3 linked regions of the Arabidopsis thaliana genome follow. The protein of the gene in region 2 interacts with the protein of the main gene of each other region in a pairwise test. Each region holds a gene or a part of one and is shown on either strand. Other genes may lie near its edges.

Evidence for each region. Proteins that work in one complex are often made in the same cells at the same time.
Region 1: the proteins of HVA22D (region 2) and AT1G22190 interact in a two-hybrid assay, tested with the Arabidopsis thaliana proteins (one large-scale study listed by BioGRID).
Region 3: the proteins of HVA22D (region 2) and AT1G63480 interact in a two-hybrid assay, tested with the Arabidopsis thaliana proteins (one large-scale study listed by BioGRID).

The regions. Positions count from the first base shown.
Region 1 is NC_003070.9:7,832,507-7,840,444, forward strand, and holds AT1G22190 (Integrase-type DNA-binding superfamily protein), read left to right. Parts: upstream 1-3,274; 5' UTR 3,275-3,738; coding exon 3,739-4,524; 3' UTR 4,525-4,905; downstream 4,906-7,938. Other genes in the region: AT1G22200 (Endoplasmic reticulum vesicle transporter protein), read right to left, coding at 5,351-5,442, 5,542-5,608, 5,706-5,798, 5,887-5,940, 6,186-6,237, 6,327-6,394, 6,480-6,659, 6,845-6,937 and 4 more.
Region 2 is NC_003075.7:12,823,148-12,830,954, reverse strand, and holds HVA22D (HVA22 homologue D), read right to left. Parts: upstream 3,100-7,807; 5' UTR 2,896-3,099; coding exon 2,849-2,895; intron 2,729-2,848; coding exon 2,702-2,728; exon of another isoform or gene 2,574-2,701; coding exon 2,267-2,573; intron 2,115-2,266; coding exon of another isoform or gene 2,095-2,114; intron 2,000-2,094; coding exon 1,973-1,999; coding exon of another isoform or gene 1,936-1,972; 3' UTR 1,652-1,935; downstream 1-1,651. Other genes in the region: AT4G24950 (uncharacterized protein), read right to left, coding at 4,200-4,673; SAE1A (SUMO-activating enzyme 1A), read right to left, coding at 4,984-5,097, 5,190-5,294, 5,374-5,477, 5,601-5,667, 5,754-5,804, 5,977-6,093, 6,187-6,266, 6,344-6,539 and 2 more.
Region 3 is NC_003070.9:23,536,524-23,545,506, forward strand, and holds AT1G63480 (AT hook motif DNA-binding family protein), read right to left. Parts: upstream 5,711-8,983; 5' UTR 5,163-5,710; coding exon 4,718-5,162; intron 4,311-4,717; coding exon 4,243-4,310; intron 4,158-4,242; coding exon 4,026-4,157; intron 3,944-4,025; coding exon 3,785-3,943; intron 3,631-3,784; coding exon 3,349-3,630; 3' UTR 3,034-3,348; downstream 1-3,033. Other genes in the region: AT1G63470 (AT hook motif DNA-binding family protein), read right to left, coding at 308-589, 778-936, 1,024-1,155, 1,236-1,303, 1,845-2,340; AT1G63490 (transcription factor jumonji (jmjC) domain-containing protein), read right to left, coding at 8,415-8,574, 8,843-8,983. UniProt on the Arabidopsis thaliana protein: Transcription factor that specifically binds AT-rich DNA sequences related to the nuclear matrix attachment regions (MARs).

The sequences.
Region 1 (7,938 bases), on a different chromosome or scaffold from region 2:
CACCCAATACACGCATTTTCACATGCATTTGTATTTTACCAACTTGTTCTACTACTACTATATTTCTCATCTTATGCATTAATATAAATTAAAATTAGGTGAGTATATTTCTCATTTTACGTATTAGTGTTAATTAAATTAGGTGAGAAAATACAATTGTAAACTAGTAAGATCATTCAAAGTCAAGAGGTCAAAAAGACACGTGGAGTTTAATAAGCCTTTTAAGGTGAGCTAGTCAGATAAACAGTACAAAATGGACCTTTGAGGGTGAACACGTGGCAGATTCGCAACGGTTGTTTGACTTCGACAGATAAAACGGACGCGTTTGACGGAAACCGCGTTATGAGCATTAAATTGCAAAAGTTCATACCAAAAGCAAAAATCCAATCAGATCCACCTTCTTTTCTTTTCTTTTCTTTTCGACCAAATTAGTCACAAATCGGATCTACCTTTTTTCTTTACGATTTACAAATATTTCTCAAAAATCCTAAAAATGACATGTATGTACTATTATATTACTTGATTTAGATGCAGTGAATCTAGCTATCAAACAACTACTTTTATAGACAAGTTAAGGAACAACAATGCAAAAATGTCAGTCATTTCATTTGCCCCCAATAAAAAAAAAATGTCAGAGAACTTGAGAGTACACTAATAAAGTATTATTGTTTAAATAAACTAGATGAACACCCATGCTACGCATCGATTTTTGTTTTTAAAATTGTCGGAAAAATATGATTATGGTTTTTTGTTGATTTTGATGTTCATTTTGATTGTTTGACAAAAAAAAAAGATGTTCATTTTGATAAATTCATCCATTTAATATAATTATTATTTTTTATGATTAGATTCATCTATAACTCAAAATATCAATTCAACTACAATATGAATATTTATATATTTATTATTCTAATATTTCACTATCATGATCACATACTATAACAGTAAATGATATACTGATATAAGTAGTTATATTACTTATGTATTTTAAAACTTGTCTAACTTAATTGTAACAAACAATTCTTTATTCCATATATTATCTCGTTATCTAGTACACAATCACATCCTGATATGCTAGTAATTTAAGTCAACATTTTAATTCTTATCCCTACCATATAATCATATAAAGTCACATGTTGTTGTTTTTTTGGTATGTCTAATGTCTAGGATGACTATTACGTGAAAAAATTATATATCAATGTTACAAAATTATCTTAACACACAAAATGTACCGAAAGAAGTTCATATGATAAATCAAATTCACAAAATATAATAATAATAAAATATTTAACTAAAATTACTAAATTAATATGAGGTTAGGTAGCAAACATCTAAACTACAACACAAGTAAATTTTTAGCCATTATAGATTAATGATTATTGATTAAATGTTTTTAATAAAATAAGTAGAATAAAATGAAAGTAGTGCTTGGTACATTATTATGACTTTTTATTTATCGAATGTTTTTTAGAAAATTCATTTAAGAGTGAGATTAACACAACAAAAGACTTTTAATTTTTTCTCAATTAGTTTTGCTAGTTTTTTTATTTAATTAATATAGAATGACACATGTCATTTTTTTGTGTGATGATGTATCATTTATATGGAGAGTGTAGGCCAATTTTCATATATATATGATTTTGAATAAAAAGAAAAATTCAAAAGGAGAAAAATAGGCAGCAAAAAGCTGTCAGTTATTACATACAGCTAAGACTTGAGTAATGATTTTGTAGTTGACTATTTCATTTCCCCTGTGGACACGCTCGGCTTACGGTTATGAAATCATGCGTTGGAGTTTTTCTTGCTTTTCCCTTTTCTCATGCGTAGAGTTTTTTTTCTTTCTTTACAATTTGTTTAACCATAGTTTTATAGGTTTGTAGCTATATGAGTGGTTAATTTATGGTCTAGCTAATTGGTCTTTTTCTTATTCAGTTTTTGCATTAAATGTAGATATCAATACTGAAAGTTGACTTTTATCAAAAATACATAACAAAGTATAAGAAAAATAACGCTTAGACAAGTTATTACACATATGCAATGTTCACCAAAGCAAGCAAGTACGAAATATACATGCATATGATAATACATGTAAACGAGATAAATCAGCATCGTAAAGATGAACTGGTAACACGGACACGAGCCATCCACATGGGTGGTACCTCCTTATGCGCGTCTTCCCTCAAAATATTGATCATTATAAAATGATGACACCATAGTCTAACCTTGCAAATTGACGCCGTATTGATTGTAGTGACATTTGTACACGATTACACGAAGCAATAAATTAAGTGATGCAACTCTATAAGATATCGTAAGATGATGAAATGTTTAATAAACTAATTAAATGGATGATATAATACGGAATTGACATTTGAGGAGTTCTCAGCCATTCATTCTAACCCTCTAGACCCTTCTTTTTTAATCTTGTATGATTTATTATCTAAATAAAAGTCTAAACCACTCATTAACATGATATCATCATTACATTGCGAGCCAAAATTATTGCTTAACAATCATGAAGTCTACGTGTGTCACATTCGGAACCTCCGAATAATTATTTTTATACTTTTTCGGTTTGATATACTTCAATATATACTATTAATTTGGATAATCTCATTCTTAATATTCTCTCAGTTCCATTTTATTGAAAATTTTCAGAAGTTTTGTTTTCGCATATATACAAAAGAATTCTAAATCTACTAGCTGGACTAGTGGACCAATTGTTGGACGCCTCTACCAAATAAATCGTAAAAATATGTTGATTTCAATTTTATCAATTTGGCTGGAATCGAAGTGCTCGTGTACATTAGTTTCAACCGCTTAGAAAGACGTCTAGCTAAATGAGTAGACAACCATTTTTTTAACTAATCTTTTAAAATTTATGGAGTTGTGTACGTCCACTCACTTCTATTTGAATAGAAAAAAGATTAATATGGTTATGGAAGAAACGTCCCATAAAGCCGGTGTGAATGTAATATAATGAAATGATTCTCCATCAAACTATGATTGTAAAATTAAAACGCTTCGATTATAGAATAAACTTGTAGAAACATTTTAACTTGTAAAAATTAACCATTCTAAAACAAAACTTGTTAAAACTCAACTTACAAACAATGTTTGATTGAAATTGAATATATATTATTTGGAGTACGTAAACATGGATGATCTTATCTGAAATAGTACATAAAATAACAAAAGAAAAAATTAATTAAACATATAAATTTGAGAAATATGAGGAGGATGGAAAAAAGAAGTCACGCCACGCCTCCTATATAAACAAGAGCCAAGCTAATGAGATAAGTGTATCGGTGAGGCTGAGAGTTATTCACTTACAAAAAAAAAAAAAAACTTGAGTGTAACCAAAAAAAAAAGTTGATATACTTTCTGGTTTTCTCCTTAACTTTTATTCTTTACAAATCCATCCCCCTTAGATCTGTTTATTTCCCGCTACTTTGATTCATTTCTGTTAGTAATCTGTCTTTCGTATAGAAGAAAACTGATTTCTTGGTTTGTATTTTCTTAAAGAGATCAATCTTTTTTTATTTTTGATCTTCTTGTGTTTTTTTTTCTTTGTAGAATTAATCGTTTGTGAGGGTATTTTTTTAATTCCCTCCTCTCAGAAATCTACACAGAGGTTTTTTATTTTATAAACCTCTTTTTCGATTTTCTTGAAAACAAAAAATCCTGTTCTTTACTTTTTTTACAAGAACAAGGGAAAAAAATTTCTTTTTATTAGAAATGACAACTTCTATGGATTTTTACAGTAACAAAACGTTTCAACAATCTGATCCATTCGGTGGTGAATTAATGGAAGCGCTTTTACCTTTTATCAAAAGCCCTTCCAACGATTCATCCGCGTTTGCGTTCTCTCTACCCGCTCCAATTTCATACGGGTCGGATCTCCACTCATTTTCTCACCATCTTAGTCCTAAACCGGTCTCAATGAAACAAACCGGTACTTCCGCGGCTAAACCGACGAAGCTATACAGAGGAGTGAGACAACGTCACTGGGGAAAATGGGTGGCTGAGATTCGTTTACCGAGGAATCGAACTCGACTTTGGCTCGGAACATTCGACACGGCGGAGGAAGCTGCTTTAGCTTATGACAAGGCGGCGTATAAGCTCCGAGGAGATTTTGCGCGGCTTAATTTCCCTGATCTCCGTCATAACGACGAGTATCAACCTCTTCAATCATCAGTCGACGCTAAGCTTGAAGCTATTTGTCAAAACTTAGCTGAGACGACGCAGAAACAGGTGAGATCAACGAAGAAGTCTTCTTCTCGGAAACGTTCATCAACCGTCGCAGTGAAACTACCGGAGGAGGACTACTCTAGCGCCGGATCTTCGCCGCTGTTAACGGAGAGTTATGGATCTGGTGGATCTTCTTCGCCGTTGTCGGAGCTGACGTTTGGTGATACGGAGGAGGAGATTCAGCCGCCGTGGAACGAGAACGCGTTGGAGAAGTATCCGTCGTACGAGATCGATTGGGATTCGATTCTTCAGTGTTCGAGTCTTGTAAATTAGATGTTGCCATAGGGGTATTTTAGGGACTTTAGAGCTCTCTGCGATGGAGTTTTTGGTCATTGCAGAGATTTTATTATTATTAAGGGGGTTTGTTATGTTAATATCAAATAAGTTTATCTACTTTGATGTTAATTAGTGTTAATCTCTGCGTCGGTCCAAGCTGTTTTTTTTTGGCATGCTTCGACCGTGTGAGATTTCTTATGTAATTTTTGTAGTTCCTTGATTTTCTTAGTTCAAGTTAAATTGGCACAAAAGAACAACGATCAAAGTAGAAGAAACTAAATTCCTTAACTATAAAAACTTGATTGGTATGAAACTGCAAAAACTCCTTCTAAATCTACAAAACATGTAACTCACTTCTCGTAATAACTAAATTCTGGAAGTGTTGCTTAGACTGTAAATGAGGAAGCATCCTGAATCAACTTTAGTGTATTTCAATCCATGGCTTTAAGCTAATCTAAGAAACCACTTTCTCTGATTATCAACAAACGTAGACACTTAAAAAAACAAGGCTTTAGTTTAATAACATAAAGCAAGATCGGTATCTTCAGATTTAGACTACACTTTAAACAAATGAGCTCAAATTAAATAGGAAAAATTAACATTCGTTTCAATCGGTGATAACAACATTTTACACTTTGTATGTTGCCTATGAAGAGATAGTGAATAGTGAAAGGCAAAGTTCAGATCCTGGAATATCTTACAGTACTACAAAATTCTTTAAATCATCGCATTGTCACAAATTCAAACCTAATGTCTAACTGTAAAACCCGTAGAGATGATTCTCCAGTAGCTGATCAAGAAAGTGTGGAGAATATCAAACAACTCAGTTGAATTTACCAATCTCCATTTTCTTCTTAATTGCTCGTTGTCCATGGTATATGAACGAATCTACTATTCCCGATACCGTGAAGATACCTGCAAATCAAAGGTATAATTTTAGTTTTGAATTTGATGATAAACATATCAGTAGGGTATGTTTAAATTGAATGGAGAAGGGATATATATATTGATTACCTCCTACTATAGCGCAAACATTTGTTAGGAAGTGCAAGAACTCCACATGTTGCTCCTCAAATATCACCTAGCCAACAATCAAAAGTTAAAATGTTTCTAGAGATATAGTCTCCGTTGGTATTAAGAACACGACTTGGAAAAAGAAAAAGAAAAAACGAACAGACCTTAATTGGCGATAGATCATAGTAGAAGAAAACACCAGGCGGAGATTGCATGCGACCTGCTTCCATGTTCTGGAAATGTTCTGTCACAGAGAACTGTTAAAAACAAAAACTCATAGGTTAGATTTTACAAGAAGAAAATGACAAAGATTTTTATATAGAGATTTGGGGATGTGGGATTTACCTGGTTTGACTGTATTGTATTCTGGTGAACATCGGTGTATATGCTTGGTACCACCTGAAATTCAACACCACAATCCATTCTTTATCCCTACGCTCAACAATCTTTCTAGCATGCAAAAGCTACCGATAAAGAAATTCTTATTGCATTGGTCAACAAGCATAATGTATTAATGTCTTTGTACTTCTCTATCAGTAACCTGAGCTAATAATGAGCCTTTTAGGAATCTCAAAATTTTGTACCTAAACTATTGTCCCAGGTGAGAGCATTGTCTATAGATATAATGTACAAATGAAGCAAACCTTGATGAAGTATTGATAGACGCCACTCTGTTTCCCCTGATTCCACTGCACACTGAGAGAACCAAGAGAATGTTTCAGAAGATAGGATTATTGAAAAAGCGATAACAGGTGCGAGTAATGGCTATATAATTGAGTTTTTACCCATCAAGAGGGTTCACTACACCGGGGAAAAAGTCTCCAAAGGCCAACCTGTTGACCTTGTGGCTAATCTGTGTAATGATATAATAGAGTCAAGACCCATTTGAAATATGAGCTTATAAAGAGAGAATGAAACAAAAATAAAACTTTTCTTACATTGTAGTTGCCTTGCTGGAACAATAACATATCATGAAATTGAAAACCGGATTGATGAAAGCTTTGCCCAGGAATGAAATGAAAGTTCCCAGCAACTTTGTTAACTTCCAAGAAACCGTGAACATTACAACCTTCACCTTCTTCATCTTTTACCTTTTGCACAAAGCCTTCTCTTTTACACTGAAATGAAATGATGAGTAAGAATATCATACAACTAGATGTGGGGATAGCTGAAACGAAAGACCAGATACCCATGGTTTCTTTAGATATATCCATTTTAGTGCCAAACAAGGTGTCACTATTTGTTTCAAACTAAGTACCAAGATCAACCCAATTTTGTTGTTAGTGAAGGAACGTCAGTATACCTGGTCGATTGATTCAGGGTCCGAGAGGGCCCAACCTTTCTTTCGGTAAGCTTCGCGAACTTCCTCACATGAATTACAACAAGCATCATCTGACTGTAACATGTAAGCAATGACAACCACAACATGTAACAAGGATAAAAAACATTTCACCACCATAGAAGAAACTAAAATGTAAATTAACTGAATCAACACTAAAGAACTCAGTTGAATATTCTCTACTGCAACTTAAAGTCCAATATCGCTTGTCAGAGCATATTCTTAGAATAATTTAGGGAAGCTTACCGCTTCTGCTCCAAAACAGGAACCACAGTATGTTTCATTGTGTTCCAACCTTCCACCATGTTTTTGTAAAGGTTTTTCAATCTATGGATAAACAATAACATTAGGTAATTAGAGACATAACGAAGCAAACAAGACAGAACTTCAACACTTTCAATCTCTTAAAACTTCTTGCAATGAGATCAGAGATGACACATGAAAATGAAAAATTTCAAAACCATAGAAAAACCAACCTTAGTATGACCAATTCCGTCTTGTTTTGCCTCGATGACATTGCCAGAAGAGTCTAATCTCCTTTTAATAATGTCATGTCGCTGCACCATACAAACGAACAGAATCCAAAATCAGACAAAGTAAACACACACATAATCTCAATTTGAAAAGAAAAAAACAAACGTAATGGAACAAAACAATTCACCAGGACATACCACATCAAGGTGCCTCTCCCCACTGATATCCATGGAATCAAGACTAATAATCGAACATTGAAGCGCAGGGAATGTAACATCAAACTACAAATCGTATATGACAAGTTATTAAAAGCACTCCCTTAAACAAAAACTAGTAAGCAAAAGAACAAAGTTTTACATTAATCCGTAGCTTCTCTCCTCTTGATGTATCAACACGAAGCTGAGTCTCAGTAACCGGGTGAATGTACAGCTCTAAACCAAACAAACCCACAAATAAAACAAAACAAAAACACAATCAAAATCAAAACCCACAAAGAAAAATCAAAACTTTGGAGCTCTAATTCTACAAAGTATCAACCTTTAAGCTTCCTAGAATCAAATTGGATCCAAAACCAAAACAGGGGA
Region 2 (7,807 bases):
TCTTCAGAGAAGGAGGAACAAAGTTGACTTAAGACTTGAGAGGCTTTTCTAGTTTTTTTTTTAAATTATTATGTTAGTTGAGAAGATGGACCGTTTAAATTGTAAGCTCAATTATAATTGATTTTACACAACTAATTCTTATGGATCACACAATAGACGGCCCATAGACAAAATAAAACCCTAACGAATCTTCTCTTTCATTGTCTGTTGAAGTTTTTCAGTTTCTTGTCTTTTGGGATAAACATTAGCTGTGGAAAAGCTGACAAATGGTAAAGAAACTTCTGTTCGAGTTAGATCTCTTGTTTTAATTGTATACTTCATTCGTTAGTCCATTGTTTGTTCACTCTGTTTCTTCTTCTCAAGTTGTGTAGCTAATAACAGTGAATTGTGTTAGTCTGATCTTTAAGTTTTTTTGCGTGTGTGGTTTGGTTAAAAACTTAAAATGCATAATTGAAGTTGGCCTTGTGTGTTCCATTGTATAGCTAACTTAGGTTTCTCTTAGAGGAATTGATTGGTACTAGTTCTTTACTTCAATCTAAGAGTATGTGTAAGAATATTATACATGTGATATAATTCATGCTTGCTTCAAAACCGTGTAACATAAATCATTAATCAATTGCGGTTGCGGTTGCGGGAGTTTGCGGAAACAGGCGGTTGCGGTTTCAAGCATTATCAAGCGTTTTGAACGACTGGTTGAGCGTTTGATAATGGGTGCGTTTACGGAAGTTTTATGACTGGTAAATCAGCGAGTGCGATAGTAATTAAATAAAAAATAACCAAAATAAATATAATATATTAATTTTAAAAGAAAAAATACAATATATTATTATGATAAATTGATAATATTAGAAAATTAAACATGCTTAATAATTAAAACCATAAATAAAACATTAAATTCAAAAATAAATAAATTTTGTAAGAAAAAGCTTAGTACTTTATGCATTTGGTACATCACCAAAAATTGCATCAAGTAGTGTAATAAACTGTAAATAACGTTGAACTCGTGGATTTTCCGGATTGCCTCTATACATATGATAAAGTTCTAACAAGAAACGGGTCATCTCGTCTGACCAAATAATTTTCTAATCGAGAAAACAAATCAAAACATATATTCAATAAAAAAACTCAAAAAAATACAAAATAAAAAAAATGACGATGCCATGAAATACTCAGAGAATTACACTAGCTAATGAATGGATGAAAGGATAGATCATACTTACGTTTGATTTTTGATTTTGATTTTGATTTTCGTTAGTTTGGGTAGATGCCATAATTGAGAAAATAGGGTTTCAATATATTGATTAGGGTTTTCTGATAAGAATAAAATATATAGGGTTTGGATGGAAGATATAATTATTTTAATTAATTAAAAAAAAAAATTAACCTAACCGCTACCGCCCGCAACCGCAAACGCTTACGGGAAGAAGCTTTTGAAATCTGGCGATTTCAAGCGGTCCAAAACGGTATCTAGCGGTTTCTATGATTAGTGTCAAACGCTAACAACCGCTACCACCCGCAAACGCAGCGTTTGCAGGTGGCAGAGGGAGAACCAATCAAAACATTAGTCACTGGTTTAAATTGCGTTCTAACTCTGTAAGCCTCACTTCAATTTTGGTTTTAGGCCCCAAAAAAAGGGATATACTGTTATGGGTTTGATTCGGTGAGATATTTGCGTCATCAAAATATGTATGATAAGTTCAAGAAGGGACACAATTGGAAATTATTAGCGTTGACATTAAAGAAATACGCGTGGAAGATTAGCGATACAATCATACAAGCAGAAGAAGCCATTTTCTAATTTAAAAACGATTACACACCTCATCAGTCATCATCATCAACATTCCTAAACCCATTTTTTGTGATAAATAAAAATAAAGTAAAAAGTAGATTAGACAGGGACATGATGGGACCACCACCAAGACCATTACAATAATACTAGTCAGGCTTCTTCTGTCTGCTCCACCCTTCTGATTCAGTGACTGTGAGCCTCGTGTCCCTCCTATATCACATTTTAAAATTCACAATTAATTTAAAAACGAATTAAAGAATTAACAAAAGTATACAAAACACTTGTTATACGCTCATGGTCGCTACGTTAGAGAATTAGGCACACTCTTACGTTTCCTAGGACTATATTCAATGCATTATTAATCTTTATAAACAAAGATTCGTTCTTTGACCCACCAAAGAATACTAAAACTAATGGTTACTTTTACTTTTTTTTTTTGCTTTATGAATCTCAAAACCAAAAAGATAAAAAATTTACCCGGTGGGGGAAAATGGAGTGGAGGATGTTGGGCTTGGTGGGCTTGGAGTGGGTGGAGCGGAGGACGCCGTGTTTCTTGAACTGTTCTCTAACAACACGGTTGTAGATAAAAGCTGCGCCTTGAAACTGAGGAAGAACTAGCCAAGCCACGAACACAAGTTTCACCGTATACCAAATCGGAATCCACTCAATAAGCGATTGCAGAATCAGTTCCGTGAGTGAGAGGAACGAATATATTATCCAATACGCAAGCCACTGTTCATCGTCCACTTTTGTTGTGCTCTCCATTGCTATCACCGATGCGTACCTGTAATCAAAAACATAATTAGTAAATATTCACAGATTTTTGTTTTTAATCTTCAACAAAAAGTAGAGAGATCGAACCAGAAAGAAACTTTTTCTTTTGTTAAAGGGTTTAACAAGAGAGAAACTTACAATGGATAAAGTAACATCACGATAGGCCTGCATATACATTACCAACAAATCGATTACGGTTTGGATTAGAAATCGAAACAGAGGAAATCAAAAAGTAACTAATTTTGGAAACATAATGGAAGGAAAATTAAGATTAAGAATAATTACCCAGCGCCTGAATGAAGAGCAGTGAGGAAAGTCCAAAATTTGTCCATTGTTTTTCTTCCTTTGCAAGATTTTTGGAAATGTTTAGGGGCTCTGTGAAATAAGAGAGAAAGAGAGAGCGACAAGTCTGTGTAAATTTCGAGGCGAATCAATTTTATGTAGAAGAAGAAGACAAAGAAATGTGAAAGGAAGAACCTAATTTATAGAAGGAAGGTAAAGGTATCTAAGAGAGAAATGGTACGGTTTGCTACAGAAGTTGGTTGGTTCACACACTTTTCATTGGCTCTTATTGGTGGAATATCATAAATAATATTTTATTTTTATTTTTTTAATTAACGTCGTACTAGAACGCTGATGCCGACATACAACTAGTCCGGTCTGGTCTGTCTTTGGTCTGTCTGGTTCGATTGGGTTCGGTTAGTTTATCCCACACGTGGCGAGATTCTAAGCTTGAAGGCGTCGACATGGCACCGACCTTAAGAATAAAAAAGACAAGACGTCGGTCGGTGAGAGCTTATGTCATTTCTTTATTTCTTTATTAATCTTTTAAAGAGATACTTTTGTCATTTTATTAATCTTTTTGCTGATTATTATTTTACCTTCTTTGCAAAGTTCAAAATTTGTGATTAGTTTGATTAAGGGTGAAACTAATGGGTTTGATTTTCTCCCAAGTCACGTAAGCTTCGGAAAAAGTTATGACCCAATTACATTCTTTTGTTCCTTTGATAGTCTAATTATATATATTTTGAATCTTCTTAACAAGTAACTTCGTAAAACCCAACAAATAGTTGATTCAAGTAAAACATATGACTGATGGATTCAAAATGAAAGATATACTTGGAATTATGCTTTTTTTCTTTTGGGCAACAAAACACTGCAAATTCATAAAAATAGCTTCCAAAAATGAAAACCCAATAAAGATGTAACAATTGAATGTGTGGCCTTCTTTTGTTTGAGTCCATTTTCTATTTAAATGATTAGCATCTTTTTTTGCTCAACTAAATGATTAGCTTTAACCATACTAATTTTACACAAAACATATTTTCAACATTAGTGTCACCGATGCACCTAATCACCACCAATGTAGTTCTTTCCCCAAAAAAGTTTATGAATAGAAAAGATGTAGAGGGGTGTAGTTTTTGCTTCTTCATCCAATGATAGAGTATTATTTTGTAAGATTTTCCTAAAACCATAAATACATACATTACTTATACTGTTTTAACCAACATAGTTACAGCCAAAGTTGAAGAGGTTCAATGAATTAAAAGAGAAGGCGAGAGGTAATAATACAAAACTAAACTTTTTTTATTTATTGAGATTGATGAACATTCTCAAACCAAAATAAATAAAAATATCAAGTAGGAACCAAAGTAATGATTTGTGTATTCATGGAGAGATGATCAAAGTGGTTCATCAACACAACTAAAACCCATGACAAAAGCAGCACCATTGTAACAGAAACAAATCTTCTAATCGTTGTCTTCTTCTTTGCTTTCGTGGTATCACTCGAACTCGTCACATTCGAAGACCAACAAGATGAATGAGAAAGCAATGTCGTCTTCTTAGTTTGATCATCATCATCAGAGTCGTGAAAGAGTTTTCTCCTTAATGGCGATATTTCTTGTATCATCTCTGCCTTTGGTTTGTGTTGGAGAGAGAGCATTAGGTTTCTGGGAGAGTTTTCGACATACTCAAGAGCATCTTCCACGGTAATCCATGAAACCGCAGATGAGTTTTTACCTGTTTTCATGGCTGTCCATTCCTCCTCAAGCTCTCTCAACTTCTCCTTCAGATGTTCGTGTGAACTACTCTCCTCTCTTTCTTCCATTTTCATTTCTTACCATTTACTTTGCTATGAATTAAAATGAATGTGGTTTATATCACTGTGAGATCTCTCACTAATTACTTTTAAAAACTTAGCTAGTCTTTGAATTGAATTATAATATTTGAAATTTGAAATTGAACAATTCAAATGTCAATAACTGAAAATGATTTTACCGAAGGAAAATCACAACTGATCCTCCACTAAATTCTGCATTAAATTTGTTCATAATGTGAAGGCAAAAAACAAACGATTGAGATATACATGGAATCTCAGAGATTATAGAGTTTAAACTAAATCAAGGCCCACTGGTTGTTTAAGAGGTAAAAGAGTCGGAAATGTCTTCCATCACACCTTTCCCATCTTCACCATCATAGTAGAAGAAGTTTTTCAACGGGTCTCCTTTGCCTGATACTGCTTTGATCACCTCCTGCCACATCAAAAAATCTTTCTTGTCAAATTACAAGTTTCTAGTGAGAAGATTCGAATGCGATAAGAGAGTGAAAGTGAGAGAGAGAGAACCTGTGCTAATATTCCTCCCACAATGGCACAAACTGGCGGGAATTCAGTAGTACCAGTGATAAGTCTCTCCAAGAGAATATCTGGTATATGGCTCTCGCTCACAGACTGAGAGACAATATTCAGTTATTCAGTGAACCTGGCAGTGACATTTCTAAATAATGATAAAACAACTAAACACACTTACGTTTGCCTCACAGAGTTGCTTTTTGATTTCCAAGACTCTGGCAAGATCGAGTAGCGAACATTCTCCATGTTTACGCCCTTCACTCTCTTCAAACACTTCTATTACTGAAAATTTCATGAGAATGCCAAAGATTAGTGAAGAATTTTTGTTGTATGTATCTGCCTTGGGATCTCAATTTTCATTTGTGGAAAGTAATAAAGAAATCAGCTGTAGTAACTAGTAACTACCTCTCATAGCAAAGTAGAGCTTTGCTGTTCTCCGAGGAATCGGTTTCCATGGTACCGATATAGCTTCCTGTGGCAATAAACAAATCTAATTTATCACAAAATCCTATGCAGATGTAAGGATTATTAGTAGCGAGAACTAGTGTTAAATTGTACCTGAAAACTTGGAAAATTTAGTTCGCATTCCACCATCTCTTCAAGCTTTTTCTGTGGAAAGAAAATTATCAGGAAAACAATACAAAGGACATTGTGCAAATTAGAAGTTGTTAATGAAGTTTAAATGTTCAATGGAATTATAGAAATTTAAAAATAAGCCAGATGAAATGTCAAAACAGCACATAATCAACAGAAGAAATGCAACAACAAATCATGCAAGTACCTTTGTGTACTTGTAATCTTGGAGGTCCACAAAGATTTCACCACATGAGTCTCTACAATCGACTGTATAGAATGCGACACGTTTCTTTAACTTCCGACATTTTTCATTGACATATTTCTGCAAAAAATAAACAGACAACGTCATGAAGAGATGTATGGAGCAACTAAAGATGAAAGCAAGTGGTAAATATGTAAAAGGTGGTATAAATACTTTGGTAGCACGAGAACCATAGCCTATAACTACGACATCAAACTGCTCAAAAAAATCAGTGCCAAGCATTGACAAATCACCTGAAAGATTTGAAAAATTGATCAGATAATAGTCGGTATGTTTTTAAAACATTAACGGAGAGGTATTAGAGGGAAACCTTTCTCTACGGAAACACGGACCATAGGGTTGAAATCCTTGAGTGAATCACTACAAATCTCAGCCACAGTTTTGCCACTGTAAACATTTTCATCAGGCGGAATCAAAAAGTTAGCGTTCAAGGCCTCCATGTTTGCTAAACGATCATCCATTAAAGTCACTGAACCAACTCCTGCCAGCACAATGTTCTTGCAAAACTAACCCACCAAATGGAAACAAAGCCAGGAAATGCAGTAAGATACCATTAGATTAAACTAATTGAAAAGCATGACATCTCAGCATGAATTATAGAGTTACAGCTACCTCAGCAACAGTCCCCTTAATTCCAGATACCAAGATATGAGCTTTGGTCAATCTGCAAGGCAAAACACCAACCTCACACTATATCAAATCGTGCCAAGCTTACAGAGTAATTACATGGTAGTGTAGTGTATCAATAAAATAAGCTTCAGCAAAAAGCAAAATATGAATGAATACATCAATCTTAATAGTTAAAAAACAAAACTCTCATCTCAGAACAACCTAAGGGAGCTCATAATTAGGAATGCACTAGTCTAGAAGCAGAATCCAAACGCTAAACCAATAATAGGTATTAACTAAAATTCTCTTAAGACAAAGACAAACAAATAAAAACCAAAACTGAAGCCAAGAGAAAGTAATCGAATGGAGGAGAAGCAAAAAAAAATACAATTTTAATGATCTAAATCCGCATTTAAGAAGGGACCATTAAGCATTCTCCTAAAATGGCCAAATAGTAAGAGTTTAGTACTCAAAGCCGACTCAAATCATAATTGAGATGATGCAGCTTAAAAGCACTTAAATTTAGAAAAGTGAAAACAAGATTGAGTGTTGAAAAGAACAAGGGGATGAGAAAGTAACCTTCTCTGAGCATTAGCGCCCCAAACCCTAATCTGGCGGTCGTACAAGGCAGTCTCCTGCTCGGTAAGCTCTTCTCCGTCCATTCCCAAATTCAAGCTATCAATTCAACAAAGCTTTGCTCTAAGAAACTAGAATTTGCGTGTATAATTTTACTGGATTTATCTATGAAAACTGGAGCTTTCGATAAACCTAGTCCTCCCACTGGGTCGATTTTGGTCAACTCTCTCACAGTGTTTGCCAAAAAAGCAACGGAGGTTTCTATTTATTTTATTTCTAGTAAAATAGAAAAAGAAAAAATATAAATGGTATGTTTCGATCGCCGGTTGGATCCGGTCCGACCGCATATCAGTTGATTAATACAAAATTTAATACATAAATTATACAATAGTTTTACACAGTTTTCATATGTTCTACGGTCATAATTCATAAACCTAGTCTCCACTGAATCGATGTTTGGCAATAATCATAATTCATGAATTGATAAAAATATTTTTGAAATACTAAAAAAGCGTCGACGGTCAAATTGGTTTGAGTCTTTGCATGGCAACAATGTCGGATTGTCACCGGTGCTTTTGTAAGTCTTAAC
Region 3 (8,983 bases), on a different chromosome or scaffold from region 2:
AAACCGAATTGAACACAGATATTGAAGAAACCAAAGGAAGCTTTAATGAGTGATATAAAAGAGTTACAATCTCGTTGAGTAGCCTGAAAGTGGGGTGGTTCTGTTACATTGAGAATGTTACAATAAGGAACTGAGAGTTCTGGTCTCAATCCTGAAATGTCTGGTTTTAACATTCCCAGAGAGAAATCTACAACAACAAAGATATGTACAGCACTCACATAATGTATGCTGCTGCTGCTGCTTCCAAGACTAAAGGGTAGTAGTCGGAGTAAATAGGAAGAAAGACTAATAATGTTTTTGTTTTGAATCACCCGCGAGTCAAGTCAATATCAGTGAGTGGGTTTCTGCTAGAGTCAAGTGATCTGCCTGAGCCTGAGCCTGAAACGGGCCATCCGCTCATTCCCTGAGCTGGGAAGTTCTGTGGCGTATGCTGACCCGTCGATGCTGCAGCTTCTGGTGCACTACCAGGTGTGGTCTCCATTTCGCTATTGGTCGGCTCTTGCTTAGGTTTTATTTCTTGTTTGATGGTCTTGTTATTGTTATTATTAGACTTTGCACTTGCTCCGTACACGAAACTACAAGCCACCACCTTCAAAATAACAACCAACAAAAAAATTTAGTTTAAGAGTCACATTACATATAAACAAATCCAAACAAAATTTCTCAAACCGTACCAGAACCGTATTTTGAACTTTTGTATTCCAGGTAGCACAAATGTTATACCAAACAATTACAACCAAAACAAAACTTAATGGAGCCAAACCAATTTTGAAATACCTGAACGAGGCTGGCTGCGATAAGCATTCCAATTCCACCGCCGATAACATGACCTTCAGGACCAGAAAGAGAGACACTCAAACCGCCTGTTCGACTTTTGGATCCACCTTCTTCATTCACCAGATAAGATCCACCTAAACTTAGAATCTCAAAACGTCCCTAAAGAACACAAAGAAGGGATAAAGAATCTTTAGTTCTCCACGGTTTGGTTCTTTTTTGGATTAACTGAATGAACGATTTTGAAACCTCAAATGTTAAGGAAGGCGTTGTTGAAGCGGGTTCACGCAGAGTGACTGAAGAAACCGTTCCAGTGCCTGACATTATACAAAGAGCCCGAGGTCTTTTTTGTGAAAAAGACAAAACTTTCGAAACAATATCCTGCAAGAAAAATAAAAGGAAATTGAAACAATGAAAAGCTGCATAACTCATTAAGATTGATAGGAGTTTTTAGAGATTACTTCTCCTGATCCAACACTGATCACATGAGGTGCAAAAGCAAGTCCAGCTGATGTATTCATCCACTCACCTAAGGTAATTAACAGAGTTAAATGACCATTTACTTATCTCAACACAAATGGATCAGTCAAATTACTCTCATAGTTAATACCTAACAACCGATGTTGAGTAGCAGTAACAACAGAGCCAAATCAATACTAATTTGACCATAAAATCATTAAGCTTCTAGCAACCAAAATCTACCTAATCATAAGACCCCAGCTCGTGTTCTTCACAATGTACATAGAAGAAAGTTGTGCCAAAGCTTACAAATTGTGTCCATAAATCAAGAAGTCAAATATCGAGTTGACTACCACATTCTAATGACCAATTACTCATCTCAACTGGCATTGTACCCACACATGGATCAGTCAATTTAATACCTAACAATCAATGTTGAGTAACAGTAACAGTAAGGCTAAAGCAACAAAAACCTAAAATAACCATAGAATCATACATAGCTTCTACCATTCAAACTTTCATCTAATCATAAGATCCTTCAAGGGTTAGCCAACAGAGCTAAAACAACAACTTAACTTAATCAAGTACACAGAAAAAACTTGAGATCTCACCAAGATTAGCCAAGCGTTGCTTCCTTCCAGTTCCGGGAGGTCGACCTCTGGCTCTTTTAGGTGCATTAGGATCAGACATTGAAGAAGAGTCCTTAGACTTTTTACTAACACAAGGCATTGGAGAAAGCCCCAATGAAACTTGTCCATCAGGAACATACTTTCTTGGCCTTCCACGTTTCTTCTTAACCATCGGTTGCTCCGACGGTGGAGGCGGCAGCTGCAGAGTAGGCTGCACCGCAGCAGGAGAAGCCATCCCCATGTGAATGCTGTGTCCGAAATCAGAATGCCTGTGCTCAGCCATGGAGAAAGGAGGTCCTGGATTGCTAGCCTGAGGGTGGTGAATGTTAGGGTTTGACATTGGCCTCATTCCCGGAGGTGGCGGCGGCGCGTGAAGACCACTCGCGACCTGGGAAGGTGTAAGATTGGTAAAAACTCCTCTCTGAAGATAGAACTGAGAATGCGAGCCTGGAAATGCCATAGCTTCTCTCCCATCCATGCATTTAAAACCCTAAATTACAATTCTTTAAGAATCTAAGAGATTTTTTAAAAAAGGAAACTTTTTTGAAGAACAAATTTATCTACCACCCAGAAATCGTAAACCCTAATAACCCAAAGAGTGAAAAGAACAACAATGGCGGCTTTTATATACCCAGTAATCAAAGTCGGGTTATTTTCAGCTGTGAGCTTAAGATCCAAACTGTTTTTATGAAACCTAGAAAAGAAAAAGAAGCTAAATGTTGAGTTCACTTAGAACTCAAAAAGAAAGTAAAATTGCAGATTTGAAATGAAGACAACAAGCAAAAGTAGCTACTACTACTGTTACAGTCTCTCTGGTAGAGAAAGCAAATCTCAGAAAAAAAAAAGGAAAGAAAAAAAAAGAAGAGAAAGGAAGTGAAGACCATTGTTTCTATTTATATACTATTTCTTTAATTAATTTTGTCAAAAAAAAATATTCAATTGGTTTACAAAAAAAATAAATTGGGTTGTTTAAGAATTTTTTTTATTAAAAAGGATATAGACTTTCTTCAATGGTTTATAACAAAATCTAATGTCTCATTAGATTTCTGACTGAAAAAGAAATTTAAGTCAATTTGAGGATATATATTCATTAATATTTAATGCTTTTCATGTATAAATTATGAGCTTGTCATCTTCCTATAAATTAAGGATCCTAAATCTTGTGTGTGTTGAATTACACATTGTCTACCAAATAAGAGGAATCAAGTTTACTAAATATGTTAAAGAACCTGAAAGAAAAATAGTGAACTAGTAAAGAAACCAAGTTCTTGATGACCACAATGAGATCATAAAAGAGTTAAAAAAATCTCCTAAAATAGCATGAAAGTGGGAGGGTTCTGTTACATTAACAATGTTAGAAGGAGCTGAGAGATCTAGTATCAATCCTTAAATGTCTGATTTCAACATTCCCAGAGAGAAATCTACAATAACATATGTACAGCAATCACATTTTGTATGCTGCTGCTTCAAAGACTAATAGTGTATATCATCCACGAGTCAAATCAAAATCAGTGAGTGGGTTTCTGCAAATGTCAAGTGATCTGCCAGAGCCTGAGCCTGAACCGGGCCACCCCCTTATTCCCTGAGAAGAGAAGTTCTGTGGCGTCTGCTGACCCGCAGATGCTGCTGGTTCAGCTGCACTACCCGGTGTGGTCTCCATTTCACTATTGTTGTCCTCTTCATTTGGTTCCTTTTCTTGTCTGATGGTCTTGTTATTGTTATTATGAGTCTTTGCCCTTGCTCCGTATACAAAACTACATGCCACCACCTGAATAACAAACAAGTTTTTCAAACACTACCACATGATATCTTGAAGAGGAAAGAAAGTGACAGCACAAACATATCAAAGGCTAACATTCGTAGTTAGTTTCGCCTCGTTTTAGCTTCACTTTACAACCATTAAGAAGAAGAATTTAATATACCTGAACAAGGTTGGCTGCGATAAGCATGTCAACTCCACCGGCAATAATACTACCATCGGGACGAGAAAGAGAGACACTCAATCCGCCTGTTCGACTTCTGGATCCACCTTCTTCATTCACCAAATAAGATCCACCAAAACTTATAATCTCAAAAGGTCCCTAAGAAACACAGAAAGAGGATTAAATAAGAAATCTTTTCAGGTTTTTCTTTTTCGATTAACTGAATGAACGACTTTGAAACCTCGTATGTTAAGTGACGATCGGTTGAACCGGGTTTGCACAGAGTGACTGAAGAAATGGTTCCAGTGCCTGACATTATACAAAGAGCCCGAGGTCTTTGTTGTGAAAATGACAAAACTTTCGCAGCAATGTCCTGCAAAGAAAAATAAAAGGAAATTGATACAATGAAAAGCTGCATAAATGATCATTAATATATAAAGGAGTTTTGGTCAGTTTACTTCTCCTGCTCCAATGCTGATCACATGAGGTGCAAAAGCAAGTCCAGCTGAAGTATTCATCCACTCACCTAAAGAAATTATCAGAGTCAAGAGTTTGCTATTACTTAAAGTTTGATTAATCACATTATGATGACCAATTACTTAAACATGAATGGATTAGTAAGATTACTCTTTCACAGCTTAAAAACCTAAATCAATAACTTAAATCAAGAAGTCGATTTCGTCCACATCTACTAATAACCAATTACTCCTCTCACCTAGCATTGTACCACACATAGATCCGTCAAACTAATAGCCAACAATCAATATTGAGTATCAGTAACGACAAAGTAACAAAACCTAACTTAACTATAGAATCATTCAAAGCTTCTAGCATCCATAAGATTCAAGCTCATGTCCTTCAAGACTAGCTAACAGAGCTAAAGCAAAAACTTAACTTGACAAAGTACACAGAATAGAAAACTCGAGATCTCACCAAGATTAGCCAAGCGTTGCTTCCTTCCAGTTCCAGGAGGTCGACCTCTGGCCCGTTTAGGTTCATTAGGATCAGACATTGGAGAAGAGTCCCTAGACTTATTACTAACCATCGGTTCTCCATACTTTCTTGGCCGTCCACGTTTCCTCTTAACCATCGGTTCCTCTGGTGGTGGCGGTGGCGGTGGCGGTTGCACATCAGCATCAGAAGCAGAGGAGACCACTCCCATGTGAATGGTGTGTCCAAAATCCGAGAAAGGAGGTCCTGGATTGTTAGCCTGAGGGTGATGAATGTTAGGGTTAGACATTGGCCTCAATCCCGTATGTGGCGGCGGCGCGTGAAGCCCACTCGCGACTTGGGAAGGTGCGAGATTAGTAAAGGCTCCTCTTTGAAGATAGTACTGAGAATGCGAGCCTGGAAATGCCATTGCTTCTCTTCCGTCCATGCATTAAAAACTCCAAAATTACAAGTCTTTAACAGAAATAAGAGATTTTTAAATTGATTAACAAAAAAAGGAAACAAATTTATCTAATCTAATACCCAGAAATCATAAACCCTAATTCCCAAAAGTAGTAAAGAGAACAACAATGGCGGTTTTAAAATTACCCAGTAATCAAAGTCGGGTTATTTATACTGTGAGCTCAAAATCCAATTTGTTCTTATGAACCCTAAAAAAAAAAAGCTAAAATCTGAGTTCACTTATAGAACTCGAAAAAGTACGATTGCAGATTTGAAATTAAGAAAACAGAGGAAAGTAGCTTCTCCTACTGTTACAGTCTTGCAGAGAAAAAAATCAAATCTCCCCCTAAGAGAAAAGCTAGATTTGATTGAGAGAAATCTAGGGTTTCTGAGAAGGAGAACACAATGTATATCAGAGGAGAGACAAAGGAAGAAGACAGATGAGACAATTCAGGGAGAAGAAGAGAAAAAGAGAGAGAGAGAGAGAGAGAGAGAGAGAGAGAGAGAGAGAGAGAGAGAGAGAGAGAGAGAGAGAGAGAGACTAACAGTTTAATGATTCTGATTTATACTTTTAATATTGTGAACTTTTGAATTGAGAGAGGTCTTTCTCTGAAAGTTAGAAGAAAACTAAAGAAGCTGAACGAGAGTGACGACCATTGTTTTTCGTATTTATATATCTCTTTAATTGATTTGTTATTTAATTTTGTGAAAGATAAATTCAATTGAGAGAAAGATTATTATGAAAGATTTAAGCATAGTTTGTTTAAGAATATTTGTTTAAGAATATTTAATGTATTAGTTTGTTTAAGAATATTTAATGTATTAGTTTGTTTAAGAATAGTTTATTTAAAGTATTAGTTTGTTTAAGAATATTTGTTTTTAATAAAAAGGATAGACTTTCTTTGATGATTATTACAAATCTAATATCTCGTTAGATCTTTGACTGAAACCGAAATTTATTAGTCATTGAGAGACAATTATGTGCTTTATTCTCATAAACATTGCTACCAATAAAGATTTAAAAAAAAAATCTTTTCTAACATATTCTAAAGAAAACAGTTGACATTTTAGATTATTATATCATGTAATATATTATTTCTTCTGTGACACACTTTTTCCGTTTTTATATGGAATCATGTTTAGTGGGTAAAATATGTATGCAAAATTTGAAGATAAATTCAATATATATATATGAAAAGTATAATAATGTTTCTAAAGAAACTAAAAAAATAAAGTGAAAATAAAAAGAGAAAAATGTACAAACCTTTTAAAATAATCAAAAATATATTATTCTTGCTAGAAAAAAGAAAAAACTACAACATGATTATTTCAATTTTGGAGCTATTTTAGTGGCTTTACAAACTTTCTACACCTCAACTAATCATGTCTATATATCTTCAATAGTTATCTGTAATTTTTTTTGGTCAACTGCTCTATAATATATTTATAATTTATTTTTAATTAGTATAGATAATTATAAGATTATTTCAAAATATATCTAAAAATTTTAGGTTTTCTTATAAATATATAATCTTGAAATTTCATTCAGTTACACTTTGACAAGAGGCAAGACTAGTATGAAATGACTTCATATCATCTTAATTCAAATTAAGATTTTAAAAGAACAAAAAAAATCAAATCTTGTTGTAAAAAGTTTGATCTTGATTAGAAATATCCAAATATGAGAGAGATGTGTTGTTGACTAAAGGATAGGAAAGAGAATGGGGACACACTTGAATCTCTTCTCTCTCACATGTCTAACTCACTTTGCTATTTCTTTCTTTGCTTCGGACAGTGAGCCCTCTCTCCTAACTTTATTTGTTTTCCATTTTTATATTCCCCTTTTTCTCTTTTACTTTTTATCTAAAATTCTTTTTTTTTATTTTCTTTTAAAAGTTTTGAAAGTGATTTATTAATATATATATATATATATATACGTACATATATTTTGTTTCCACCTAATTTGAAAGTTTGTATGATGCATTTAATATCCGGTGGCTAAAGTACCCGACCAAAAAATCCAAATAGTCAAAATTTGGTGCTAGATATAAATAAAAGTTTTCTAGAGATATATCATATATTATATATTTTGGGTTTAATTAGATTTGTTTTGCTACTCCATTATGAATAATCTTTACATTAATTTGTTTTGTTTAATGTCAACAATATTACATTTGCACACATTTGACTTTTGACAATAAAATAAAGAGTTTTGACTTTCCTTCTTTCACTTTTTGTTTTGCCAACTTTTTACCTAAAGTAATGTGACTTGTCTTTTTTTACTTAGAAATTTCATGATAGGAAAAATTTGAGGCCGACCATTACTGAACTTATACAATATTTTACTTGTTCTTCTTACATAAATAGCTATAAACATACACAAATCAGTCCATTTCATCTACATGTAACATTAATAACTTTAATAAATAAACAAGATATGGACAGTGTGAAATTCACAATAAATGTACTAGATAGATTTTCAAAAATGGAAGAAGAGTGTTGAAGGAAGCTTTCAGCTTGAGGATGGTGTCTCAAAAGGTACAATAAGGCTCTGTTTCTATGAAAGTCCCTTACTTATTACTTCACAACACATATACACACATTATGATACATACATATATAGAGAGATATGATTGTGGGTCTCTGAAACATGATGTCATCAAAAGTGGGTCTCTTTCTGATTCTTGTAAGGAAAGTGATCTCAACTGTTGCTTTTTTATTTTCCTTCTCATGAATTTGTGGGGATTAAGAGATATGATTCTCTTCACACATTGGTGGTCCAACAATAGTTCAAAATTCTAATAGCTGCTGGTAGTTTGATTTTGGTAGAGTTTGTTGAGTTTAAAAAGTGAGAGATATCAACAAATACATACTATAAATCTATAATTGAATAAGAATACAAATTTCAATGGTAAATGTGTTAAACTTGAATAAAACATCAAAGAATGAAACAAGCTTTAAATCTAAGATCTAAGCTAATATCTCCTCTATACATAGTTGTGATTAGAATTTCTTATATTACATAATCATCAAATTCTAGTTATAGATCCACTGATCCAGTTCAAAAAAAAAAAAGATCCAAAAATCTGGCAAATTATTAAGTCCAAAACCTTTTTAATGTGAACTTGTCCATTTTCCAATGGGAAACATTACAAAAAGGTTTGAGAAAACTCATCTAAAATTGAATAAATGAAATTGCTCTATATATCATACCCTCAAGAGATTATTATGTTGGTTTTTAAGTGAAAAACCAGGGAAGAATATGAACCTGAGGACTCCGTTTAGTTGTCCGTTTGATGTGTTTTCGGGTTTTCCACTTTAAGTCATTAACTGCTGCATCAGTCGCGACCATTCTTGTCCGTCTTTGGTTCAGAGACGGTCTCTCTGGCTCTGTTGCTCTGTTAATAGATATCAATCAAACAAATGGGTTCAGAAAAATGGGAGGAAGTGTAGAGTATCTTAACGAATCTGTAAACATTCTCGGTTCAAGCCACTAAGCCTAACAGAAACCACACAATCAGTAGCTTTTGATTGTGACCTAAACTAATGAGTGAAGCAAAAGTATAGAGGTTTCAAGAAAGTATGCTTTTAAAAATCTAAGATCGATGTGAATACAAGTGTGTAGCAATGTGGTTTAGAGTAAGCTTTTATTGCAAAGGAACAAACCTGGCGGGATCGATCTGTGGAGTGGTTTCTGCCAGTGGACAGCAAGCGGAGCAGACATAAGCCTTAGGCCGCCAATGAAGCTTTAAACAATAGGTGTGATACCATTCGCCACATTGACTACAAGAAACCATGGATCTTGAG